Drosophila melanogaster: one gene and its partner. The protein of the gene in region 1 interacts with the protein of each later gene in a pairwise test. Each region holds a gene or a part of one and is shown in the gene's direction. Other genes may lie near its edges.

Region 1 (3,392 bases):
ACAGTTCCTACTTAGTTAATACTAGCTGTAGCTTAAGTTGTTTTAACCGCGTACAGAAAGAATCCTGAATCCCAATCCCAATTGAATCCCCAATACAATTGTTTCATATTTATGTCTATTTCCAAATGCTTTCGGTTTCCACATGTCTATTAACATTCACTGAAACGCATATTCCCATATTCATGACTGTCTATTTAGTTTTCATACGTTTTGATTTATTTATTTCCCCTATTTGATTTACTCTTAATTTTAGCACAAAGTCATTGACTAACTAAAGACCATCTGATTGCTCGGCGTCCCTCTCTAAAAATCACAAGATGACATCGGCTAGATCACTTACACATAAGCAATCAGACCCTCTATTTATTGCATCATCATGGTTCATACCGATCCACTTGGATAGAATCACTGGAGGGCAGGACTCTCGCAAGTATTCCCGAGCGTTCAAGCCCACAACATTAGATACAGTTTTGTAAACCTGCGTAAGATTGTGATATTGTGTGTTTTAATGTACAAGTTGAACATCCAAACGAAAGCTGTCGAAGCAGACGACAAGATGATAAATACCTCTCGCATGATATGATATACTTAAATAAATCAATTTAGACTAAAAGAAACCACCCATACGTTTTTTTTACTATCCGGGCCAACATTTTTAAACCCATCCTAAAACTATAAAATCAACGGCCGAGATTTCAAATGATAAGCTCTTTTAGCTTTTATTTGCCAACTTAATTATGGACTAAGAATCGAAAAAGCATTTACATCGTCTGTGTGTTCTCGATGACCTTCTCGTTGTCGTAGATCTCCTTGGCGTAGCACAGATTGGGGTAATCGTAGGCAGCTCCATATCGGTTCTTGCAGCCGGTGGTTGCCTTCTCTCCCGGAGTGTAGACAGGCTGACCCACAATGTTCGATGTGGCGAAGTTGCAGGTGAGTACGAAGTGGTTGTAAAAGTCCCGGGAGAAGCGCACCGCGGCACATCCCACATGTGTGTTCTTCTCGGCCACCGCGATGGTGAACTTGGTCACCGCTTTGTTGGGAAGCTCCTCCGGGAAGCTGGCGAGGATCTCGGGAGATGCATTCGAGCGCTCAGCAAACCAGTTCTCGATCTCCTCCTTTATTATTTCCGCATCGGTGTACTCCGTCTCGGCTCCGCTGTACTGGAACAAGGCGTTGTTCTGGCCGGCGTAGGCGAATCTCTCGGTGCTGCGGCACTTATCCGGCAGGGACTCACAGGTCTTTACGTTCAGCAAGGCCAGATGGGAGAGCTCCTCGCACCAGGACATCTTGGCCATGCGAACAGCCTTGGGTAGTCCTTCTATTTTGCCTCCAGCCACATTGTTGCGCAGCTCGTTGAAGAGATTGAGGATGAGTTTGTGATGCGGCTCGATCTTCACCTCACGCACGTCCTTGGGACAATTTTCACTGAAGTTCTGGATGGGGATTTAGGACATTACCAATACGAACTCCTGTGAATTTGGTTTACATAAGAACTTACTCCCTTGTTGTTACAGGCCACATGCTTGTCCAGACAGGTGGGGAGAGCACAATAGTCGACGGCAGAGGAAATGGCAACCACAGCTAGGAGAATCAATTGGAGAACCTTGGTGAACGCCATGATGCTAGTTCTTGGCTACTGGATTGGACAGCAGATGGGTCTGCTTTTATATGGCATTCGAACTGAGCTCAGCCACTTGTTCCTGGCCAGACATTCTTGGAAACTCAGCTGCGAAAATACTGGAAAACATGTTGCAACTGCGGTTCGATTGCCACAGCTATCCTATAAATAGGGTACTTTGGGTAGCTAAGCCTCAGTCCAAAACCAACGCTGAAGATGGCCATTAAGTGTCTGATTTTGCTTACTTCCCTGCTGGGAATAAGCCTTGCAGCGGACTATTGTGCTCTGCCCACGTGCCTGGACAAGCACATAGCCTGCAACAACAAGGGAGTAAGTAGTGATAGCTGGCCAAAACCTGCTGGTGCTCACCCATTCTCGCCCAGAATTTCAGTGAAAATTGTCCCAAGGACGTGCGTGAGGTGAAGATCGAGCCGCATCACAAACTCATCCTCAATCTCTTCAACGAGCTGCGCAACAACGTGGCTGGAGGCAAAATAGAAGGACTACCCAAGGCTGTTCGCATGGCCAAGATGTCCTGGTGCGAGGAGCTCTCCCATCTGGCCTTGCTGAACGTAAAGACCTGTGAGTCCCTGCCAGATAAATGTCGCAGCACCGAGAGATTCGCCTACGCCGGCCAGAACAACGCCTTGTTCCAGTACAGCGGAGCCGAGACAGAGTACACCGATGCGGAAATAATAAAGGAGCAGATCGAGAACTGGTTTGCTGAGCGCTCGAATGCATCTCCCGAGATCCTCGCCAGCTTCCCGGAGGAGCTTCCCAACAAGGCGGTGACCAAGTTCACCATCGCGGTGGCCGAGAAGAACACCCATGTGGGATGTGCGGCCGTGCGCTTCTCCCGGGACTTTTACAACCACTTCGTACTCACCTGCAACTTCGCCACATCGAACATTGTGGGTCAGCCTGTCTACACTCCGGGAGAGAAGGCAACCACCGGCTGCAAGAACCGATATGGAGCTGCCTACGACTACCCCAATCTGTGCTACGCCAAGGAGATCTACGACAACGAGAAGGTCATCGAGAACACACAGACGATGTAGGTGATAGTAGATGCTGGGATCTTAAACATGAACGCGGAACGGAAGCTTTATTAATATCAATTCGGTATATATAATTAACATGCAACTGGCAATAATGAATTCAATTCGTTGAACAATTTCTTCCACGGGAATTGGGGGATGCAGCAGCTTTAGCACGCGCCTCCAGAGTTTTGTGGGCATTGGACTTCAGATGGGATCTGTAGTGTTTGGCTGTCTTGAAGCTTATGCGGCAGATTTCGCAGCTGGAAGAGATTGGGGGTGAAAAAAATGTTTTACTCATTAGCATGAGGCTTCAAAAAAGTAATTTGATTACATTGAACTGCAGCATATCATATTCAACAGAGTACTGCTGATATTTTATAGGAATATATAGGCACACAATCGTTTTTTGCATATAAAACAAAAAATACGTTTGACATGCAAGATAGATTCGTTATTTAGTTGCGAATAATGGAAATCCTTCTAATTTGCATTCTCTGCAAATACTTAAGAACTGGGAGGAAGTCGTACCCGTGATCGCGAGTCAAGTTGTGATACTTTTGATGTGTCCTGCACTCGCTGGGTGTTACATACGACTTGGGGCAGTACTCGCACTGGTAGATACGCTTGCTGGCGTCCATGTGAACCCTGCGGAATATATTGGAAGGGTCACGTAAGTGGGGATGGTGGGCTAAGTGACGGTGGAGATTCGTCTGAAATTCTACCTTTCATGC
Region 2 (3,922 bases), on another chromosome or scaffold:
ATCAAAAGTCGAGCACACAAATGGAGATGGAGGACGAGTTCTACTGACCGGTCTGCTCCAGCCATGTGTACACGATTTATTTAACAATAAAAGTCTGTTATCGCTATTTGACGCTGGTGCTGCTCTCGGAGGATTTGGAGAAGCGACGAGTTTCGAGCTCACACTCCTTCACCTCCTTCGGTTTGGGTTTGTTGCGCCGATTGGGGCGTTTGTTCCTCTTCGAAGTCTTCTCCTCCACCACGGAAGCCTCTCCATCCGAGCCATCTTTGCCGCCTGCACCTTGGGGCAGCTCATCTGATGCACGAATTCGGGCTTTGGGCTGGTAAATGGCAATCGATGGTCGATCCTGTAAACATCAAGCGGGTTAGTAAAATGTCGAGGGGGGTAATAGGTGAGACCCACTTTATTCCGAATGCGCCGCTCCTCTGAAGCTCGAAATTGAGCAGCCTTGATGGCTTCCTCTGCAGTTTCGTGGGCGGAACCTGCTGGCTGCTTGTCTGCGCCGGTTCTTTTTTCCTTGCGACCACCTCTGGCAGCCGGTGTAAAAACCTTGACAGCAGCTTCTGGTGTCTCGGTGTTTTCAGTCGCAGGCTTTTCTTTCGAGGCCTCCGCAGCGTTAGAAGTGGATGGCACGTCCAAACTCTCGTTTGATTCTGGCTTGTTTGCTTTCTTCAAGATAACGATGTCCATGGACTTTGAATTTTTGTTCTGCTTGCCGCTGGATGGCTTGCCTTTGTCCTGTTTGTCCTGTTTGTCCTGCTTGCCCTGGCCGTCATCCTTTTTCTTGTCCCGCTTGACTAGCTTACGCTGTTCGTGTTCCTCGCGTCGCCTCTGATCCCGCTCCGTTCGTCGTTTGGAGCGCGAGGCCTTGGCATCATTGGCTTGGGATCCAGATGACTGCGGATCTTTGACATCCTTTTTGGCTGGCTTCTTCGTGTCTCCTCCTCCGCCGCCTCCTTCGGCCTCCTTAAGCTTGCTGGCGTCCGACTGCGCTGCCAATCGCAACAGCTTCTGCTCCTCGCGTTGCTTCCGCTTCTCCTCGTTCCGCCTGCGCGCCTCCTCCCGGCGCTTCTCCTTCTTGTTGGCCAGGTACTGCAGGAGGGGTGTAGACTTGACCTTCTCTTCTGTTCGCCGTTCGAAGTTGAAGTCGATCTTGACGTCGCCCATGCGACTCGCCTCCTCGCGCTCTTGGGCCAGCCGCTTGATGAACTCCTGGTAGTGGGGTTCGCTCTCGATGGTGTTCACCTTGCTGTCGTCGTTCCTGGCCTTGTTCTTAAGGAAGCACTGGAAGGGAGCATACTCCACGATGGCCATGTACTCGACGCCCTTGTGGTCGACGAAGACGTAGCCGTCGAAGCGATCCCGGAACTGCACCACCTCGCCTATGTCCTTGGAGGACATATCGATGTAGGCGCGACAGGTGGCCTCCTGGCCCAGCGACCAGTCTGCCTTGCAGTAGTAATACGAGTCGTTCTCCGGCAAAGGACCCACCTGATCCAGGAACTGCGCCTCCGTCATGGTCGGCGGCAAATGCCGCATCACAATCTGCAATGAATGCATTAGTTTCGGAGGATCGTGGGATTAAGACAGTCTGGACGGTACCTTAACGATCTGATTGGTCTTGTCCTTCTTGTCCTTGCGCCTGCTTGCCTTGGACTTCTCCTTGGGCTTTTCCTCGGCAAAAGTTTCAGCCATTTTCTGTTCCTTTTTATTTACAAAAATCAAAACAAAGCCGAAAAGCCAACAAATGCAAACATGATGTGGAACCGATAGAGATGGCACTTTCGGCTCGAACTAGAAGAAATTCTAAAGTTCACAAGTGGAACCTATATCCAATTATTCTAGTAAAAAAAAATAGATTCTATCAAAGAAGTTAGTCACTTAGTTAGTTAGCCAAATATTAGGAAAGTAGAACTTGAAATATCTGTGCCATTTCTGGCAATTACGACAAGGCTCTGGTATCTAGATCTTTGGAACTAGTTCTTTAAATCCACATTGCAAGAGCGCTTTTTTTGACCGGTACGCAGATATCATGCTCAACTTTTAAACAGTTTCGACTGTTTTGGCACATTAAATGCTCGAATTGAATGAATAAAAGGAAACTTGGTCAAGGTAATGAGTAAATGGACATTCTAGAGAGCTTGACACATGATGCAGTAACATCGTTTTCAGGAATCTGAGCATTGCAAAATGATGGCGCCGGTAGATCCACCAGTGGGATCCTTTCTGAAGTGCTTCGTCTGCGTCTCCGATGAGGGCAGGACTTGGACAGAATTGATACAAGGTTTCACCAAGGAATCGGACAAGGTGGAAAAGAACCTTGCTCACCTGCAAACGCTTCTGGAGAAAGCACATGTGAAGCCCAGCGTGATATGCAGAGGCTGCAATATGCAGCGATACTGCAGCCTGTCCCATCTCGTGGCGGATCGTCAAGAACACAAGCCACTCTGCGAGGTGCTGAGGGATCTGCAGAAGTCCATGAAGATCGATCACCCGTTGAAGCTGCTCGGCCAAATCACCGATCGCAGGAAGCTTCAGCTCGTCATTTCGCAGCTAAAGATGGTCCTGCTGGCCAAGTTGGGCAGACCACTGAATCAGCGGGAGCATCAGCTAATCGGCAACCCAGCCGTGTGCGATGTGTGCTTCAGCACTGAAGCTCTCGAGGACTGTGAAGGATGTGCCGGAGTGGCCTTCTGCTCCGCGGCACACCAACGCCTAGTCAGGGGCTATCACACCCCGGAGGATTGCCAGACCCTGGCTCTGATTGCCACTCCGTTTCGTCAGTTGAACTGTCTAGTGAATATCAAGGACTTCTACCGCAGTTGCCCACTAAAAGAGTCTAATCTAATCAAGGCTTTCACCGAAGCCACCGACATACGGATCAGCGACACTCCTTGGACCGATCTGGAATCGTACCAGCTATTCGCTACCTGTTCCTCCTTCAGCGGCATCGCAAGTCTGTGCCTGGCCCTGTCGCACATTTCCTGGGTCCCAGATCCGAATAAAGCTGTCATAGTCTACGTGGCCGGCGCCACCGAGGACACTTTGCGCTACTTCGAGGACATGCACCTGCGTTTTCTGTTCCTGCAGTACCCAAGCATTCGTAATCTGGAATTACACTTCATTGGAAGAACCGTTGGGCGCATCGACCAAGTGGATATCAAATTCAGCGACAGGAGCTTTGAACAAACCGTGGTGAAATGCTTTTACCCCCTGTCATTTTCACAATATTCCTGTATTCTAAATGTGGATCCCACCTTGATTCTCATCATGCAACCCGATTTCTTCGGAGTCGGTAAAGTAACCCAGAGAATTTCTAGGTATATGAAAAGGAAGGTTCCACTCGAAAACGAATGGAAGCCTTGCTTGTCAAGTGTTATTCGATCTTTTGGTGTTCCCATTTGCTACACTTCGATTTCAAGGGCTCAGGCAATTTCCGATTTCGCGGCCATCACATTGTCCGCTGAGAAGAGCAAGATTGCCATCGAGAGAGCCTACAATATAATGGGCAATCCCTATCGTGAAATATTGCCACTGCACAATCCAGCACCAGAAGATACCGAGAGGATTGTGTATGCCAATAACTACCTCGAGGTTATTTTCACAAGCAAAAAAAAATGCCAATGACTACCAAAGACTATATAAGGCTTAGTTTAGTACACATAATACCTTCGACAATACTGACATTTGTTATTAAACAGCTGCTCGTCAAATACATATTCTAAGTTACCTGATTACTGCCACAAGTATCAAGTTAGATGCATTAAAACTACCCAAGACTGTAGAATAACTACAATTAGTTGATAATATCGAGAACAGTATTCAGTTTCGAACGCGGCTTTGAATGTCGCCCTTTAATTTAAACATGTTTGTTTATCCATTTACATTTTTGGTAATTCTTTAAGAATAAATTGTTTAACTA

The links.
Region 2: the proteins of scpr-B (region 1) and CG17658 interact in a two-hybrid assay, tested with the Drosophila melanogaster proteins (one large-scale study listed by BioGRID).

The regions. Positions count from the first base shown.
Region 1 is NT_033777.3:11,239,425-11,242,816, reverse strand, and holds scpr-B (SCP-containing protein B), read left to right. Parts: upstream 1-1,825; 5' UTR 1,826-1,837; coding exon 1,838-1,951; intron 1,952-2,004; coding exon 2,005-2,679; 3' UTR 2,680-2,776; downstream 2,777-3,392. Other genes in the region: scpr-A (SCP-containing protein A), read right to left, coding at 762-1,436, 1,502-1,621; CG31388 (uncharacterized protein), read right to left, coding at 2,780-2,921, 3,190-3,306, 3,384-3,392.
Region 2 is NT_033778.4:23,893,073-23,896,994, forward strand, and holds the start of CG17658 (uncharacterized protein), read left to right. Parts: upstream 1-1,990; 5' UTR 1,991-2,112; intron 2,113-2,172; 5' UTR 2,173-2,190; coding exon 2,191-3,627; 3' UTR 3,628-3,922. Other genes in the region: DNAlig1 (DNA ligase 1), read left to right, coding at 1-47; Upf3, read right to left, coding at 104-346, 403-1,545, 1,603-1,695.